2 linked regions of the Drosophila melanogaster genome follow. The protein of the gene in region 1 interacts with the protein of each later gene in a pairwise test. Each region holds a gene or a part of one and is shown on either strand. Other genes may lie near its edges. The genes, in order: eEF1beta and slgA.

Evidence for each region.
Region 2: the proteins of eEF1beta (region 1) and slgA interact in a two-hybrid assay, tested with the Drosophila melanogaster proteins (one large-scale study listed by BioGRID).

Annotation. Positions count from the first base shown.
Region 1 is NT_033778.4:16,866,565-16,875,931, forward strand, and holds eEF1beta (eukaryotic translation elongation factor 1 beta), read left to right. Parts: upstream 1-1,657; 5' UTR 1,658-1,747; coding exon 1,748-1,827; intron 1,828-1,926; coding exon 1,927-2,515; 3' UTR 2,516-2,716; downstream 2,717-9,367. Other genes in the region: Psi (P-element somatic inhibitor), read right to left, coding at 1-682, 762-833; CG6426 (uncharacterized protein), read left to right, coding at 2,957-3,038, 4,706-4,876, 4,947-5,179; CG6421 (uncharacterized protein), read left to right, coding at 5,742-5,811, 5,869-6,284; CG6429 (uncharacterized protein), read left to right, coding at 6,512-6,755, 6,825-7,060; CG6435 (uncharacterized protein), read left to right, coding at 7,264-7,321, 7,677-7,853, 7,911-8,167; CG8910 (uncharacterized protein), read right to left, coding at 9,292-9,367. UniProt on the Drosophila melanogaster protein: EF-1-beta and EF-1-delta stimulate the exchange of GDP bound to EF-1-alpha to GTP.
Region 2 is NC_004354.4:21,368,428-21,379,402, forward strand, and holds the start of slgA (sluggish A), read left to right. Parts: upstream 1-5,884; 5' UTR 5,885-6,313; exon of another isoform or gene 6,314-6,394; intron 6,395-6,994; exon of another isoform or gene 6,995-7,066; intron 7,067-7,682; exon of another isoform or gene 7,683-7,692; 5' UTR 7,693-7,777; coding exon 7,778-8,239; intron 8,240-10,975. Other genes in the region: bbx (bobby sox), read left to right, coding at 1,322-2,295, 2,366-2,447, 2,556-3,809. UniProt on the Drosophila melanogaster protein: Converts proline to delta-1-pyrroline-5-carboxylate. Involved in the conversion of proline to glutamate, which functions as a transmitter at neuromuscular junctions. Glutamate deficiency could possibly account for reduced motor activity.

The sequences.
Region 1 (9,367 bases):
GTCCGTCCTGGATGATGATCATTTTGGCTCCGGTCTTCTCCTGCAGCTGTTTAATGGTATCGCCGCCCTTGCCAATGACCAAGCCCACCTTGGCGCCCGGAATCATGATCTCCTGGTAAGGTGGATACCCGCTAGGTCCCGGTGGCGGCATATTGATCGTCAACAGCACCTCCACCTGTCCCCCGCCAGCCCGATTGGCCATGTTCTGAATCATTTCGCGCCCCTTAGTGACTGTATCCCTTTGACCACGCAACATGATAACGCGATCTTGATCCTGCATGACCTGCACTTTTACACCGGACTCGGCCTGGATGTGGGTGATGGTGTCGTTACTGGAGCGACCCATAAAGGCGCCGGCTACCGATTCGGGCAGACGGATCTGCTCCTCACAGCTTGTTCCCGCCGAGGCGGCCAAACGAGCGGCTACCGCAGCAGCCTGGGCGATTGCCTGAGTAATACTGGCACCGCCGGGACCTCCGCCGCCGCCACCACCACCCCCGCTACCGCTGCTCATGTTGGAGCTGTTGTTGGCGTACTCCGGACTGCCCAAGGAGCGTTTGGATTCCGGACCGCTGTCGCCGTCGTCGTTGATACGCTTAAAGCCAGGCCCTCCACCCGAAGACGGTGGCGATGGACCCGCTGTGCCGCCGCCCTGCTGGCTGGGCTGGATCTTGGCTGCGATCTGGTTTGGGGATTGGGGCAAAAGAAGCCGAATCAATGCCCACTTCCGCTTCTTCCTCTTCCAAGTGGTGGGAACTCACCTGCTTGGCACGCTGAATTGCCTGCGCGAGTGCCTGCGATTGATTGATGCCTTGTTGCTGGAAGTCGCTCATAGTTCTGGGTTTATAATAGGTTCAATTCGGTTCTTTATGGTTACCACTTGTTTTTTTTTTGTTCTGTTTGACCGCACGCGTTGAAAATTCAATAGCCGAAAGCGACGATTTTTTCACAAATGCTGAGGAAATACTATAAACGCTTCCTATGGCATTTGTTTAAGTGGCTTTCGAATGTCTACTCTGCCTTATTGTTGAGCCGTTTTTTTCATGCGCTTCTACGTTTTTTTTTTTAATTTTTCTTTCGGCTTTTCAGTGAAAATTATGCGTTTGCAAAAAAATTGTGTAGCATTATAGCTTGATTGGAGGCGTTTTTTCACCCTCATGATTTTCACTGCAACGGTAACACTGCGCATAAGATATTCACGGTTTTAGTCCGCGCTTTTGGTATATTTGTGTTAAATTAAATATTCAATGACTTATATGAATTTATTTGAAAGTAAAGGATCTACTTAAACTTAATTTCTATTAAGCCCAAGCTCCCAATTTGTGTGAATTTGCCCAAGGAAATGCATATTGTTTTCACAAGTTACAAAGTAGAAGCATACAATTTCTATACAATTTTTTTCCTTTTCAGAATATTAAATGTAATTGTTTGGCCTTAAATTTACGTAGCCAATAGCTAGCTTAAGTATAAGGTATTAATTATAATCCTTATGTTTTATTAAAAAAAATACAAGTAAGCGTTAAAAATCTATTTGAATGTATGGTATATTTGAACGATATTTACTCAAACTCCGGGTCACCCTGTGTTGCAACTACTTGAAATACTAGGAAAAAGTCAGTATTTTCATTATATGTTTAAAGACCGTTTCCCGCGAAGGTCACTCTGTTCTTCTTTCGTCGGCAACGTTGCGCAGAGCACGGCTCCAGATTTGTTAAACGCGAATTTACCCCACAAAAACGCATTTAAAATGGCATTCGGTGATGTGACCACCCCGCAGGGACTGAAGGAGTTGAACGCCTTCCTGGCCGACAACAGCTACATCAGCGGGTAAGCACGCGTCATTAAATGTGAGGTTATGTACGACCTCACCACGTCGGCAGATGTATTGATCGAATAATTTTCTACCCATTACTATACTCCCATTAGATATACTCCCAGCAAGGCCGATCTGTCCGTGTTCGATGCTCTGGGCAAGGCCCCCTCTGCCGACAATGTGAACGTGGCCCGCTGGTACCGCCACATCGCCTCCTTTGAGGCCGCTGAGCGTGCCGCTTGGTCGGGTACTCCTCTGCCCCAGTTGGCCGGTGGAAAGCCCACAGTGGCTGCTGCTGCCAAGCCCGCCGCCGACGATGACGACGATGTGGATCTATTCGGATCCGACGACGAGGAGGACGAGGAGGCCGAGCGCATCAAGCAGGAGCGAGTTGCCGCTTACGCCGCCAAGAAGTCTAAGAAACCCGCCCTCATTGCCAAGTCGTCGGTGCTCCTCGATGTCAAGCCCTGGGATGACGAGACCGACATGAAGGAGATGGAGAACAATGTCCGCACCATCGAAATGGACGGTCTGCTGTGGGGCGCCTCCAAACTGGTCCCAGTCGGCTATGGCATCAACAAGTTGCAGATCATGTGCGTCATCGAGGACGACAAGGTGTCCATCGATTTGCTGCAGGAGAAGATCGAGGAGTTCGAGGACTTTGTTCAGTCTGTCGACATTGCTGCCTTCAACAAGATCTAAACATCTGAGATTCTTATATTAACAATAAACTTGAGCAAAGCGAACTAAGCAAATATAGTTGTCTTCATATTTAAATAAAATATTTCACATGAAAGCTGCAATAAGCCAATCATAATTCAGATTGTAAAAACACATCAGTTTTATTGGAATAATGATTGAAATTTTGTAATTTTCACCAAAAAGTATACTTTTATAATCGGTAAAAATCTCTAATCTCTTTAGTTGGCTTGCTGGCTCTCTCAAGTTCTCAGCTTAAGTCTTCCGTTTTGAAGCTTTCGGCGAGCTTTTGTCAACAAAAAAGCGAAGCTCGTAGCACTTTCAGCTCAGTTGATCGGGCAGCTCGATAGAGGTCGGTTGTTTACAGATAGTTGTGATACTGTTCAGTGACTTTTCAAATTGCATTTGCAAACAAATATTTTTCGGACACAAGTACTGCTTATAATGGCTGCCAACAAATTGTGCTGCACTTTGGCTATTGGCGCTCTTTTGTGTCTGGGATTCGCAGCCCTCATTCAAGCTCAGGGTGAGTTAAATACATCGAAAACTATATATTTACATTATATAGGCGAGAACATTTCCGTTCTTGTTATTGTTCGCGAGACGTATTTGTTACGCATTTGCTGAGATTTGCTTTTAACACGAAATATACAAATACCTGATCGTCTGCATTCATTAACATTAATTAGCAATTGTATAGATATTTGAGTCTTTTGTTCTGCGCCAAGACATGTTTCGTTCTTGAGCGGATTTCCCAGATATATTTATCCATCCATCGTGTTTGTCGCCATTTGCATACGACAAGTATCTGGAGGTTGACAAACGTCCATTTAAACTCGGGGATTTCTGATCGGTTTCAGATTCCATAATCGACCATCCATCATCTAAAACACGGGCCGTTGACATCGTTAGTTTTCAATAACGCATCATTGCCATTGAAATTACTTCCGATTAGTATACATCTATTACATTGGCGGAAATTAATTGGTATTAAGTTTGAAAATCATCTATTAATCGTTGGCAGTAATTTGAAGTGAACTCTTTGCTTCTCTGTTTAATAAATTAATTGTCTAAATGGGTAATTAGCAGAAATCAATCAGTCGTTATTTTTGCATTATTCGCGAAAAGGATGTAGTTTTACTGGAGATTTCCCCGAATCCGGAACAGTATTTTGCGGTGCACATCGGTACTCCATTGTTAGACCTCAAAAAATCCCACTTTCGTGACAATTTGCTGCGTGTGGGTTATCTCTGGGTCAGGAAAACCCCGTGAAAAGGTGTTTATATAAACTAAAATATGCACTGATATGATATGTTTTAGAAAGGTGGAAATATATAAAAGGTCTTTAATCTTGACCCAATTTTTATGCCTTTGAAGATTACTTTGCATAGGTCACTGAACTCAGAAACCTCAGAGTTTTGCTCGTGTGTGTGGGTGAGCCAGAAGGCTAGATGACATGCTGTGCTTCACGCTTCTTTCGATCTTTTCGCAAAATTGGCAAAATGCCGATACTCGTTAAAAATACAAAATTTAATTACAAGAACAAGGTCTTGATAACGCCGATTAATTGACTCATCCTCGCCTACGCGCTGCCAGATTTTGTTCTACGGAGATGCTTCAATGTTTCCATTGAAAGTTGCAAAACTAGTTCGATACAAAATGGGATGGGAACGTGAGGCCGATGGATTTCAGGTTCATGGGCGTGCAAGCAACGGAATTGCTTTTCGTTTCTTGGATATATTTTATAATTTTATTGAATTTTTGAAATTTATGAACCCGCTCGCACCGGGGAAACACAGATAACACACTAGGATTAGTTTTATTGTAGTACCTGTTGTTATTTTACACGGAAATCTCTTCGGTTGGAATTTATAATAATGAACGTAAGAAATTTTAAAAGAATTTTTAACAAGTTCAAGATAAGACACCTAAACCAAATTGGTCAACTGGATTTTTTGTTTAATTAGTTTCCTACTACTTTTTTCTGTGAGCTGCTAAAATTTCAAAGTCTTCAACTTGTTATAACTCTTAAAAATTCAAAACATTACCAAATGCTCTGAATAAAGCGATGACATGATCTGGGCAAATCTGCACTGCTAACGCTCTTTTGAGGCTAATCTGGAAAATAAAATAAAAATAAAAATGAACTGAACTGATTTGATTTGATTTGAATGATCTTTAAACCCGAAACAGATAAGCCGGTGACTGATGTGTGCCTGGGATGCATCTGCGAGGCCATCAGTGGATGCAACCAGACACGTTACTGCGGCGGCGGAGTCTGCGGCCTGTTTCGCATCACCTGGGCATATTGGGCCGACGGCGGCAAGCTGACCTTGGGCAACGAGAGTCCCCAGTCGGAGGATGGTGAGTGTCCCATCCATTACCTATGCAATAAACCTTATCATACATCTGATGCACATTAATCTCGCTGCAGCGTATGCCAATTGCGTGAACGATCCCTACTGCGCGGCCAACACGATCCAGAATTACATGACCAAGTTCGGCCAGGACTGCAATGGAGACAACGCCATCGATTGCTACGACTTTGCTGCCATCCACAAGCTGGGCGGCTATGGATGCAAGGGCGAGCTGAGCTACCAGTACCAGACGCAGCTGACCAACTGCCTTAATTCGTTCCAGCAGATCGACGTGCGCTCTAGCATATAAACACATTAACTTGCTAAATTTATATTGTAATTAAATTTAAATAATGTAATAATTAATTATTTATGGCAATGCATTTGAATTCGATTCAGAATAAATGACAATACAAGCAAATATTTTTAACTTTTCAGTGCTTCACACTTGTTTCATAAATTTAGTAAATTATTTCGAATGGACAAAAAAAATAATTATTGTAATGAATTTTACTTATTTGTTAGGGTTATTCGTGTAAAAAACATTTTACATTCCTTGCTTACATACATATTCTCTACATCTTGGCTTGAAATACAGTAAAATTAAACTAGTCTTTAACACACGCTTTAAAATATTTAGGAGTCGCAGTGTAGCATACTTTTTGTTGTAAGTTTCAACTGGGAGTCAGTGAGTGGGGGTATGTAGTAGAACTATTCTTAACACTTTGTGTGGATGCGCCCTATAAACCGGTATTACCCGCTAGATTGGCGCATTTACCGGGTACTGAGTACTCAGTTCATGGGAATCGCTAGAACCATTCGCAGTTTCAGGGGCAGAGGAATTGGATGTTATTACTTTAACCAGCCGGAAAATGCGAGTTTTCCTGCTATATTCCATATATTTGCTGCTGGTGCTGTCGCCTTCATTGGTTCAAGGCCAAGGTACGTTTTTTCCGCCAAAAATATATGTGCTATATGTACAATAAATTGCGTAAACAGGTCATGTGCTGGATAAGCCGGTAACGGAGCTGTGTCTCACCTGCATTTGTGAGGCCATTAGTGGTTGCAATGCCACGGCGATTTGCACCAGTGCGGAAAAGGGAGCATGCGGCATATTCCGCATCACCTGGGGATACTGGGTGGATGCTGGCAAACTGACGGTAAATGGAGAGCATCCCGATTCGGAAAAGGCTTTCATCAACTGCGCCAAGGATCCGCACTGTGCCGCCGATTTGGTGCAAAACTATATGAAGAAGTTCAATCAGGATTGCAATGATGATGGTGAGATGGATTGCCACGATTATGCTCGAATCCATAAACTGGGGGCTTATGGCTGCCAAGCGGACATGCCCTACAATTTCCAGAGTGTGTTCGAGGAGTGCATCGAGAGGTACGAGGATGAGGGATTTGAGTAAATAAAAAATAAACATTATATATATATGTTAATAAACTTAATATTTTTATTTACCCGGGAATCACCGCTGATTGGAAACCAGATCGGTGCATTTCCTATAACTGAAATTAGTCACCTTCGATGGCGCTCATTTTCGATAATAAAAACCAGTAGTCACTGCTGAAATCGTTTCAGTGGCTGAACAATCGCGAAAGGCATCGAATCGGAAGTGAATACACATCTCGAGCTATGCATAGTGCACATATATTATTTTTCGTACTCGGGCTCACATTCGTTGGCATTTGGGTTCAAGCCGAGGTCCAAAAACCCATCACGGAACAATGCCTGATCTGTATGTGTGAGGCTTTGAGTGGCTGCAACGCGACGGCTGTGTGCGTGAATGGGGCATGTGGCATTTTCAGGATCACTTGGGATCAGTGGGTGGACTCAGGCAGATTGACCATACCTGGCGACTCGCCATTGACGGATAGTTGTAAGAACTGCGTTTATCTGTCAATTTAGTGCATTTACTTACTTACCTTTGAATTTACAATATACTCAGCTTTTACCAACTGCGCCAATGATCCGTATTGTGCGGCCGATACTTTGCAGAGTTATATGGTGAAGTACGGACAGGATTGCAACGATGATCAGAAGGAGGACTGTTACGATTATGGTGCCATTCACTATATGGGTCCCTTCAACTGCAAGGCGGATATGCCCTACACCTACGAGAGCATTTTCAAACGATGTTTGAGGAACGCGATGCGGAATGACAAGCGTCAGAATTCCAGCTAGGCCTAATGCAACTTTTTCTAGTATTTAGCAACTAACTTATGAGGAAGAGTCCGTTTAATTTATGTGCAAATAACTCATAGCTAATATAGGCGTTAATTTCGATTAATAAACTAGTGGCTTGGAGTCAACTGAGATCAGTTGTTTGGTCAACACGGCACTTGCAGGTCGGGTTCTCGATTCTCGATCGGATTCAAAGCTCAGTTATGCTACGATTGCTAGTTTGTTTGTGGCTACTGGTGTACAGTGGTTCCAGCTATGAGGGTAAGTGCTACCCAGCTACACAAGCCATCAATTCCGTAGCGATAGTACCTTATAACCACTGTGTTACGTAGTTGACGTGGTGCTCTATAATTATGGTAATCCATCTGGGTTCGCTGTAAAATAAAGCCAGTTTATAGGAATAGCTTTATACTATAAAGCCGGCTGTAACATCCGCCCATTTCCACTTTTCTCGTACACTGAATATAATTTATTCATTAGCTCCATAATATAATGCTTTTTTGATATTTAAAAAGTCTTCTTAAGAAAAATCACATTTATACAAAAATTATCTTCTTTCTTTTTTTTTTTGATGAAATAAGTATGTATTGATTAGTATTTCTTTCTGTGTATTTAGTGCAAAACAAACCCGTCACGGAAGATTGCCTAGACTGTCTATGCGAAACAATGAGTGGCTGCAATGCATCCGCAATTTGCGTAAATGGGGCCTGCGGTATATTCCGAATCACTTGGGGCTACTGGGTGGAGGCGGGCAAACTAACTTTGCCCACAGATACAGCTCTCTCCGAAGACGGTATGTTCAGGATATCCAAGTAATAGATCCATTTCAATTCCCCAGTCCTTTTCTCAGCTTTTACGAACTGCGTTAATCAGCCCCACTGTGCAGCGAACACGGTGCAGAATTATATGTTCAAACATGGCCAGGATTGCAATGGAGACGAGCACATCGATTGCCTGGATTTCGGAGCACTCCACAAACTGGGCAATCTGAAGTGCCAGGAAGAGTTGCCCTACATCTTTGCCAAAGTCTTCAATCGATGTCTGAAATCCAAGGAGCGGATGGCAGAGGAAAAGATCATCAAGGAGCAGGAAACGGTTTCAACATAATTGATTCTTTATTGGGTTTCATCGTTTCCCACTTTTCGGGGATATATTTGTCTGTTTTTAAAACAATCCTGGTAACACATATACACGTACATACATCGAAACATTGCTTATGTTTGCATTTGAACAGTTTCCAATATAGGTATGGATTCTATAGATTTAGTTACAGATACAGATATATATATATAATATATATAGAGGGGTATATGAAAACTACTTTAATATGCTCTCGCTTTTTGTAAACATGTTAACATACTGGTAGTACATAGTTATTAATTTATTCAGATTCTGGCTTACGTTTGCTAAAGCTTGGCTCTAACATTGGTTTGCCATTCAGTGGTCATGGTTCTATATCTCGAGATGAGGTTCTCTCTATTAAGGGGTATTCTGTTTGGTAGTCTAGTATATGGAAACTTGAAAGTAAAAAGGACTGTTACGGATATTTTCATCAGAATCTGTTCAAATTGAAATTGTTTCAACAACCTTTTTAATTGGTAATGATTCATGTTGAGACTGAGACTGAGGCAATGTCGAACGAAAGGCAGCAATATCATCCTATTCTTATCATATCTCTAGACGGTGAAGAGTTATGAAAGTGGGCAGTGAACGTAATGAAAACTAAGTGGAAGTTTCTGCTTACGACTATAAACGAAATGAAAGCAAAATATTAGTGAAAAAATCAGTGCTTGCCAAAGGTTTATCATTTAAATACAAATGTTTGGCATAGTTTTTCTTTTGAATTAAAAGCATTAAATGCCAAAAACGCCCACAAAAGAAGTAAATATGCAGACACAAGTACAATGAAGGTGATTTAAATTTCACGATTCTACAGTGAATTCTTTTTTTTAAGAAACTATTTTTAAATATTTGGCTTCTCTATTTTCTATTTCGAGTAAAAAATCATGGAAATGATTGAGGCCTAACTGACAAATTACGTTCATAAAATTACAATCAAGCTCGATTCATATGGGTAGGGGGTGTTGAGGTGTGTGAGTTGGAGGTCTGATTCCATCCGATCCTATCTGGCTTGATATAGTACGGTTACACGGGTACTTGGTGATGATCTTACATGGCTAGAATTGCAACTGGAAATATGCGTTTTTGCTGGCTAATTGGGTGCCCTTCCCTCACTTCTTGCTGTTCCCATCGTTGGCCAACAGCAGCTCCTTGGCCTCCTTCTTGCCCCGCTTCTTCTCCTCCTTG
Region 2 (10,975 bases), on another chromosome or scaffold:
ACGTTTGAAGGTTATGAACAGACCCGTCCCTCCCCCACCATTCACAGCCGACCGCTCCATTTAAAACTTGGCCTTGACCGTGTGCATCTGTGTGTGTTAGAGTGAATGAGATGGATAGAGATGGCCAACGGTAACCAACAGCTGACAGCTGCACTTTACTTTGCCAGGTGGCAACCCTGCTACCGCGATCCTCTTCCCTCTCTTTCCATCCAAAAATGTCCACAATACAAAACAAAGGCAGTGCGTTGCTCGCACAAACAAATAAGTAGAATAACAAAAAAAAAAAACAAGAACAAAACAGCAACAACAATTCGTTTAATCAAGTTCAAAGCGAACTTTGCGAAAAAGAGAGAAGCTAACGCACTTCTCGAGCGCTCTCCCGCTCGCACACACTCGCACATGCGAGCTAATGCTCAGCTGTACACGTAGCCTGTTTTTTGTTTTTTTTTTTTGTTTTCCTTTTTTCATTTCTTTATTTGTGTGTTTAGTTTGTCACATAATTGTGCAATAGCAGTACAAAAAACAAGTATTTATCGATAATTAAAACTGTTATTAAATTTTGCAGGCAGTATTGATAGTATGTATCTTATGCACAAAAAGCACTGATAATGTTCGTTGTTAATAAAGAAAGCGGGTGAATTTTTGTGTATTTCAATACAACCTTTTTTTGTCAACGAAACTCAAGCTTTTCAACTTTTTCAATTGGACAAGGTGCAGGAAGCGTATGCATTTATAAGGTTCTTAATCATAATAGGCTCATCAAATTGACCATAATAAAATTTTTCCCGTTGTTAACCTTCACAAGTAGTGTTGAAAAGTATTGAAAGTCAATAAGTAGCCGTAACTCTTTTTGAGTGCATTCCCTTAGCTGTTTCTTTGTTTATTTATTTTGCAATTATTTTTATGCTTTTGTTTGATAGACTGTGATATTTTTGCCTTACTTGTATGTATGGATTGACGTGAATTTCATAATAATGAAAAAAAATATAGCTTTATTTGTGTGCGATTTATTTTTGTTTAACGAAGTTTTGCTTGAGAAAAAAAGAGAAAGAGCTATCCGAACAGGCGCCACAGCACGCACAAACACACACGCACAGCTGATCTGTCTTGCTCTCGCACTGGAAATTTGTAAACAACTCAATATCGCAAAAACCAGAGCTGCCAATTAGTTTTTTTTTATTTTCCAGACACACTGGCAGCGCCATTTTCTTGCATTTGTGAAATTTACCCACTAAAAAACAGTGACATTTTTCCATACTTGCAGCGTAATATGTTTGAGGATCGGGACTAGACAAGTAGGTGGAAAACGAAAGCTAAGAACATGATCAACGGCCTGAGCGTTGGCGGTGGTCAGCAGGTGGCGCAGGTGACGCCAACAGGTGCTGCAATTAAATTGCACTTTGCCTACAACAACAACAGCAACAACAGTAGCAGCAGCAACATCAGCAACAGCAACTACAGTGGCCTTAAAACATCGGAGACGAAAATGAGGAACAACAAGAACTACACAGGCAGAGCGCTGAAAATAGTTGAGAAGATACCGGGAGCAAGTGGAGTAATCGCCACAACGAGCGGCAACCAAGGAGCAAGAAGCCTTGAGGGATATTCTCCGGCAGCGGCATCTTACGTTTCGGGCTTGTCCAGGGACTTTTTGATATCCAGAGAACTTTCCCAAAGATCAGGAGAATTCCTGACAGCTGCTGCAAAGATGGTATCCCAAATGGGAGCAAGCGAACTCCGCTGGCTCCCCATATCCAGGACCAAAGACAAACCATCGAGCGCAGGAGAAGCAGAAGCTAAAACATTAGTCAGAGAAGGTGAATCACAAGGATCGCCTGGTAAAGTTGCCAAAAGTGCCTTAGGTGACCCCCAGCCGCAGCGCACCGAAGACCAAGAAAATGCCTTTCGGCGCATCGAGGATGTGCACAACTATGCCAAGTTGCAGGACTGCAGCAGCGACACTGACGACGAGGACGACGAAGAGGAAGATCTCGATGAAGAGGAGGATGATGAGGAGGAGGCGGAGATCCAAGTGCAGTTGCCTGTGCAGCAGGAGGTCACGCGCATTCGTCGCGAGGCCGCCGAAGAGCATGTGGACGTGGACGTGGTCACAGTGCCGCAGCAGGAGCAGGATCAGTATAGCCATCAAGTAGAGCCGCGACAGCTTCAGCAGGATGAGACAGCGGATAACACACGGCCGGAGCATCATGCCCGCCGACCCATGAATGCCTTCCTCATATTCTGCAAGAGACATCGCGGTATCGTCAAGGAGCGTTACAAAACTTTGGAGAACCGGTGGGTTTTTTTCCAGCTGCACCCATTTAGGTTCCGGAAAGATTACTCACTCGTTGTTTACCTCTTTTAGTGCCATTACAAAGATACTTGGCGACTGGTGGGCCGCTCTCGACGAGCAGGAGAAACACTGCTTCACGGATCTGGCACAGCAGGTGGGGATCATACAATATTTACCCGTGCACATACTTCACTTCTGCTGAACATGCCTGCTGGGCTTTGAGTTCTATAAGTTTAGCAAGCTAATTAATTTTCTTTTGTAGAACAAGGACGCCTTCTTCAATGCTAATCCAAACTTCAAGTGGTACAAACTGCCAGCTCCGCCGCTGCGAACGCTAGCTACCCGTCCCAGCAACGCGTCTGCTGGCTTGCTCATACCCAGTGAAGATCAGCCACAGCAGCAGGTGCCGACTTCACTGCAAGTGCAGTGGGCAGAGCGAGGGGAGATGCCGCGTGCTATGCTGCGCCCCAACTACTTTAAACTGGCAGACGAAACGCAGATGGGCGAGCTAAGCTCCCTACTGCAAGTTCAAGTACAAGAAAAGGACTTCGCCCTACAGCAGGTGCTCAGCGAGACCAGCCAGTTTCTATCTGCCCATATGCCAGCTGGCAATACAAATGGGAATGGCAATAAGCGCTCCTTGCAGGACAACAACTCGAGCAACTCCAGCGAGGAGGAGGCGGCCAGTGGTAGCTCGCCAAACAAGAAGGTCAAGTCATCACGCTCCTGCAAGGGCAAGATTTACCAGGAATTGGTCAATTCCGGTCAATTGGCGGCCATAGCTAAGAAGAGCAAAGCTCGCTTGCCGCCGGCAGGTAACATGGGTGGAAACTTTGTGGACATCCCCTTGGATGCGGGACCCAATACACCGCCCGTTTCGCCACCGGAACGTCAGGGTAGCAGTCCGGATTCCATGCAAAAACATATAAGAAGCGTTTCCGAGTCAAGCAGCAGTGGTTTCTTTGATCTCGAGGAGAAAATCAAAGAGCTGCCAGCCCTCAGCTTGGACGCTTACCTGCAGCGCAAACGTAGCACCAAAAAGAAGAAGAAGTTTAGCGGCACCAAGAAACAGAGGAATTCGAACAGCACAAGTGGTGCATCAGCAACTTCGAATGTGGCAGCAGCAGATGCTGCGGCGAAAGGTGCTGTCCCATTATCTAGCGAGCAACACGTGAGGATCAAGCAGCAGCAACTGCAGGCTGTGGGAAGCCAGCGACGAAAGGCGCGCAAGGAAAGTATCACCCGGCGCGATGTTAGTGCCATTGAACAGGAGGTGGCCTCAATTCTGCCCCTGACCATCAATGGCAGCTACTACTTTAACCAGAGCGGTGCTCCCAAGGCGGTGAATGCCCCTGTAACCTCGTCGTCGGCCTCGCCACCGCTCTCTTCGAACTCCTCGTCGTCATCCTCCTCGCTCTCCTCGCAGGCGGCCTTCGACGTGACCTCCTCTACCTCAGATCTACTCATTCTGGCCGAAGTGGCCGCCAACCGCACTGAGCTGACCAAGTCCAACTAGCGCCTGCAACACCAATAACATCAGCAGCACCACTGGCTGTCCAGCATTACCACCAAATAGTTAGCCCAAATCAAAATAGCGAACTGCAAGATTGTCATACTTGGGGAAGACATATTCACATATGTATATCCTGTTGCAATAATTTGAAATTATGTTTAGATATTTAAACTATTCCCTGTTTACCTTATTATATAGTTTTTAGGAAAGCAAAAGAGCATGTCCTTAGCAGTTATTCATATCATCATTCATTACGTCAGAGCTGAGGAATAATACTTTATATTTTATTTACATACATATATAGATAGGTTTTACATGTTTTTCGGGCTATGTTGCACACATATCCAAAATATTCAGTTCATATCCGCACAACTGTGCATTAATATTCAATTGTTTTAACATTGTCGCATCAATCGAAAACCTTAAACTGAATTTGTCGCCCTTATGATAGTCTTGCGGTCAAGTTAAGCACCCATTTTCGATACTTACGATGCTTAAAGCTATTTGCTGGTGGTGCCCAATGGAGATGGAAAAACAGACATTCGTTGATCTACAATTTAGTCAATAATATTATGTAATAACAGAAAATCAAGCCAGCCGAAGAGAATGCGAGAAGAGAGTCGCGGCGATAGCGAATTATGTATTGTTTGTTATGACGGCGGTAGGAGGAGACCCGAGTCAGTTTCACACGCATATATCTATGTATATATTTGGTATTTAAATAACTTGTTCTGTTTTTTTCTTGTTAAGTTTCTCCTTTTTCGGGCCGCGTTCGCTAAGCAGCAAAATCAACAGCAGCGGTCGCTCATTAAATGTTAATTATTATTATTTCTAATATGTAGTCGTAACTTATTGCTATATTTGTCGAAACGCAAACAATTTGCAAACAAAAATATATTCATTTTAAAATGGAAACTTGGAATTTTCATTTTGAAGAGCCAATTTTGCAATATTTATCTATGAAACGCCAGTAAGTAATCAGTATACGGGAACAATTTGGTATCTATGTACGCATACATTGTGTATATTAAAAAATATGGAGTGCATATAGTTCTTGTAGTTTTTTTTTACGTTAACATGATTTCTTTGATGCCATAAATGTTTCTTAACTTTCTTACCTTTTTTCTATAAACAATTTTAAAGTAAAGTAAATTGAGACGTAAAAGGTTTTTTTTTGTTAGTGTCACAAGCCGAATCGCTTTGTTTTTAATTTTAATCAGTTTAAAAGATTTTATACGAAGTAATATGTTTGAAATTTGTAACCGAAAAAATCGCTTAAAACAAACCCAAAGGACATTTTTAGAGATCGCTGGTGTGTAGATTTGTGAGACGGCGATAACTATCGATATTTATATTATATTTATATTGCGAGCTGAAAGTAACAAATAGTTCGGATACTCAATTTTGTAACTAACAATAATTCAAACTTTTCTAAAATCCCTTCTTTCGGCACACAGCAAAAGGAAATATTTGGCTTGGGAGGGTCCGATTAGAAAGATTTAGAAAACTTATATTCATTTGGTGGCCTTATATTTGCGTAAATAGTGCAATTAAAATAAATCTGTTTGATACTTTCTTGAGTCCACGATAAGCGTTCTTTACACAGAGAAACATTTTGAATAATTTTCGTACCTGAAACTAAATTTCAAATTTTGCGAGCGTATATTTCGTATCGATATATTTCTCCAGTGATCTGGGTGTAAAGCAAGCCTGTTTGCGAGGCCAGTGTTGCAAGACGCCGGTTGTCAAGAAAGAGACAGGGAGAGAGATGAATAGAAGGAATGGTTCGTTTTTGTTGGACGCTGGTGTGGGAGTCCATTGATAAGATAAGAGCACCGAAGATTCCCGGCCAACCGCCAGGGGCCTAGATAAGCGTGCCGATTTTTATTGGGTAATAAGAGTTGACAAGATGGCGATTAATTTTCGATCGGGTTTCTTTTTTTCGCTCACGTGCAGCCCAAACAGCTGCTGGGGGTGGCCCATCCCCTTTCTGCCCCTCACCGACTGGTCCAACAATTTCTCTCAAGCTTTTTTGGACGAGCTTTCGCCGTGTTGGCCTTAATTTCGCTTCATGTGTTTCAGTTTATTCGCGAATTCAGACCCTTGCGCGTGCTCACGCTCTCTGTTGCAGCAGCAAAAACCAAAAACCCTCGAAAAGAACAACATTGACTCGAAAAAACCGAAAAATAATTATAATTGTACTTGTACTTGTGTGTCTTTTGTGAGGTGAGCAAATGCGCTGACAGAAACGGGAACTTTTCTACTTTTCTCGCAGGCTGCTGTGAGAAGTTTGTCAAACAAACACGAGTTTTTCCGAAAAACTATATTTGGCAATTCTACAAATTCTACAAAATTGTATTGTTTACCCTTATTATTGTTTTTGGGTCGTTGCTGGTTATGTATCGTAGTTTGTTTTTTTTGAAGTGACAAAACAACCGTTAAAGCAAAATTTATATCGAGCAAATAGAGGAAACCCACAAACCCAAGCGAAATTTTGCAGTGTACATGTGAGTGGCTGCGTTGTATTCGTATCATAAAAGGATCTCTACAAAGCGAGGTAGAGAGCAGTAAGCAGTGTTATATAATAGGTACAATTCGCCGCATAGCAACAAATAAGAAAAATGAAGAAAAAAAAACAAAAAAAAAAAAACCATTCAGATGAATTCGCAATTTAAGTACGGCAGCTCCCTGTTTCCCTTTAACCAAGGCGGCCAGAGCGAGACAGAACTTGATATAGCCCATAATGAAGTGTAATGAAATCTGTGCAATGAAACCCGCCAAGTTTTTTCGATTGATTGCAGCCTCCCGTCTGGCGATTATTTAGCGGGCTGCTAATTAATAAATAAAATGAAAAAGGGAAAAGGGGTTAATGGGTGGAAAACTGAGAACGAAAATTGGGGAGAATCAAGGAGAGCCGCAATTAACACCAATTAGTGTGTGCTTTCGGCGCATTTCAATTAAATCAAAACAAATTCCAAATCAAAATCAAAATCAGAAGCAAACGGGGCTGGCATGCCTGTGACGTCACACAGTCGTAGTTACAATTACGGTACAATCTCGGTTACATTTACAGTTACATAAACGGGAGCGAAGCGGCGAAAAGGATTTTCTCGCCCTCGGGTCCTTCCTCGTTTCGCTTCGTTGAATTTGCCGTCGCTTAACAACTCGCCCCATTTTCACGCGTCTTCGTCGCATTTGGTTTCGTGCTTTTGCGGCGTATACAACGCTCAAAGCGTAATAGAATAAATAATAAGAACGAAGTAAGAAGAAAACCCAAAAGACACATAATAGCGAAAGATAGATTTCTGCCCAGAAATTGACTTTTTTAATTGAACATTTCGAAGGTGTACTTGCGTACGTGTGATTGTGTTGTGCTGTTTTTTTCGGCTTCGCTCTCCCTCGCCGCCTCACGTTTTTCGCATTTGTTGTATAACATTCGGAGCGAGCGAAAGAGGGAGAGCGAAAAGCTCTCCGACAAAATCAGCTGTGATCATTGGCGTTGGCGTGGGGTTTGTGGGGGGGCAAAAAACACAATTAGGCAAAAAGTTGCAATAATAATATGTACACTGATTTTAATATTTTTATAAATTGAATTTTATTATACATTTGTTTATTATTTTTATATTAATTAGATATCATCCAATTACAATTAAATCAATTCTATATGATCTTATTGAAAATCAATGCATATTTTGAAACAGTCGTAATAATTTTGTTATATATGTACCACATTTCCACTTTTTAAAACGTTATTGTAATCGAGTTGAAAACGAGATAACCACCTTTAGTAATCTCTTCGTTACGCCACTGTCTTCCCTCAGATTCGTAGTGATTTGTAGAGATAATAGTGAAATTACCTCTGCTTTCCATTGTTTTCTTTTTGCAGCAACAACCGAGATTGGAGTGCGTTTCAATAACCGTCTCAAAAGCCGAAGAGCAGAAAGCGTAAATAAACCGCAGAATCCCTTGTAATGGCTCTACTCCGTTCGCTGAGCGCCCAACGAACAGCCATCAGTTTGGTCTACGGCCGTAATAGCAGCAAGTCGAGCAATTCCGTGGCCGTCGCCGCCTGCCGGAGTTTCCATCAGCGCGGCAGCGGGAGCACCAGCATCGCCGGAGAAGGAGCAGCATCGGAGTCCACGAGAGGAGTCAATGGAGCGCGCTTCCTGCACAGCGGCGACCGGCCGCTGCAGGCCTCCACTCTGGTCCAACCGGAGGTGGTCTCCAGCGAGACGGTGAAGCGATCGATGAAGCAGGAGTCGTCCCAGGAAAAGAACCCCTCGCCCGCTGGCTCGCCGCAGAGGGATCCCCTGGACGTGAGCTTTAATGATCCGATTGCTGCTTTCAAGAGCAAGACCACTGGAGAGCTAATACGCGCCTATCTCGTCTACATGATATGTTCCAGCGAGAAGCTGGTCGAGCACAACATGACGGTGAGTTAATCGGTGTCCCCCACTCCTCCTCTGCCGAGTCCTGCGACCTTTGACCCTTGAATTGGTCCAATCCATCGACTAGCTGAGATCTCTCTCTCTCTCTCTAGCTCTCTGTTTCTGGTTCTGTTTGCTGAGAAATCTGGGGCTCTGTTAGTACATAACCCCTGCTTAATGCTTTCTTAATATTACAATTAAGTAAGTATCGTTTTAGATAGTGACCGATTTCGAAACCATTTGTTTCAACTCTCGAAGTGTGTGCTGACTCTTCGCCTCTTCTGTCCTCTTCTGCTGCTTTCAACTTATTATAATTCATTCATTTATTTTATAAATACTTCCTTTAAAATGCTTTATTTAAATATATTCATGTACATGGATTCTTGGACACTTGAAGAGTAAACAAAAGTTATGAACAGCTAGGGCTATTGAATTCCATGTATGTATAATGTTAAAGTTGTCTGAAACTGAACGTAGAAGAATATTTAATTTTTTTGTTTGCTTCCTTTTTTCTATTCATGAATTTTTTTGTCTTATTCATGAATTTTTTCGATCCTGCCAAGCTTCCATTCGCTTGATTCCGATTTTCCGGGCAACCGAAGCCCGTGTCAGGTGGCTGGCTGCTTTCCTTCCGATTTTCCGCCCTGCTTCCGCTTTTCAATTCACCCGACCCGCAGCGAGTTTTCGTTTGCTCCCCTCGTGTTGATGAATTCCTGGCTAATTGCTTGTTGCATTTGTTGCCACTTTCTGGCAGGTGCTGCAGTCGCACAGAAGATTGAATGAGTGCCTGATTGACGGCAGGAAAAAGGGAAACTTTGGCATGCAAATTGCCGCTGCGATGGCGACCTTGCCCGGTCCGCTATTTGCTCTTAACTCGTGCGTATTTACTCAGCGAGACGTATGGATTGTGTGAACTGTGTAGGACTGCATAGTATATATAGGTCGTTATATAGTCAGGCCCCCGAATGAGCGCCAATCGGAATCGTTGGAAAACCCCTCGCATTTACCCCATTCTCGCTAGCGTGCTTCTATTTAATAGCGTCGGCGATCGTTTGATTGCTTATCGATTACTCAAAGTGCATGCGTCGCCAAGACTGTTACTTATTTATCATTTTTTCGCCCCGCTCGATGCAATTTGCATATATGGGTGGCTAAATGGACGTCACAGAGAATGTCCGCACAGCTCCCTGGGACCGTAGACATCACATCACATGTGGCATTAGTCAGACATCGACTTTGCCCACATCTCTGCACTAGAAAAAAATTGGTAAGCCATTCCTTTACCAGACTCGGCGCAATCTATTTGAAAACATCGTTTGCACAATCGATTTTGAGCGTTCTAGCATTCAATTAGTTATACTTTTGGTACTAAATATAGTGAGAACATTCTCAAGAACTGTTGCACACAGTTCAATAACACAATTGGGGTCTCATATTCGTTTGAATTTGTATCAGAGTGTACTTATTTTTTCGCCATTTCTATTTACAGTAGCGCGTCGATTGCTTTTGGGGACTGAGGAGCGGTGTGGGTCTCGTGATATGTGAGAATGGGTTGGGTATTGATGGGTAAAAAACATGGTTGAGGATGGGGTACTGTGGCAGGTGCCAGGTGCTAGGTGACCGGGGGTGGTGTTGGCTCTGCTGGGGCAGCTTTTTTTGTTTTTTTTGTTTTTTGGGGCCAGAGCTCAACGGCAAACACCTGTCCTCGGTTTCGAATTGTCTGCCAAAGAAAAGTTAAAAGACTAGCAAAGCAAAACATGCCATACCCAAAAAAAATATAATGCGAAACGAAAATTTGTTTTATGTAACCAGTTTTGGTGATGGTGTATTTATATTGTCGGCAGTGTGCTCTTTCGACAACTTTGTATTCAATTAATTACTTTAGTGTTCTCGACGAAACCGGTTTCCCCAGACGGAGAATGCTCTTTTCTTTCCCCACCTGTCCTTTCTCAGAATCTCATTCATCTGATGGATCCCGCATCAAGCAAAGCGCACACGTGCAAGGGAATCATTAATCAGAGGCCAATGCTCTTGTGTTTTCCACCTTGTAAGGAACATGGGTTGCCCGGAAACCGGAAACTTGGTGATTCCCAAGTTAGGCGATCTCTTCCTGTCCTTATTGCCGAGTTTTATTAAGTGCAGTTTAACATTTTCTCGTTTTCACAAAGCTGGATAGTGCATTGCGAGTTTATTTAAATAAATTAATATTTCCGAAGGGATAGTATTGTCTCTAGTCGCATAAATCTTGCATTAATAGGTTTGGATAAGAGTCTGTACAATCTCTTGCGTTATTTTTCGGCTTTTCAGGAAGTGTTTGTTTGTTTTTCTTACACTAAAATTTCAATATTCGCATCACTTATATATGTACATATGTTCAGCGGATATCTGTTTAAGTTGATGGTTCCGCGGCGGATCGTCTTTCCTTGAGCACTAGGCTCATTTTGGAAAGGTGATGTTTATATGCGTATTTAGCCTGACACTCGTTTAAATGACGTGCAGCCTCTGAAGAGTAATACACATTGCCGCCTCCGCACTTTTTGTCGCATTTTTCCACGCTGTTTTGTTGGACTTTGGCAAAGATTTTGGCCTTGACTCCGTTCACGTTTTTTATTTTACCACTTGGCCAAGTTCCAAATGATTTATGTGCGATTCAGGCGCTGAAAAATTGAAAGAACCTGGGCGGATGAGGGATCTCAGCTAGAATCGATGGATATTAGTTGTATATTGCAAAAACTCTTTGTC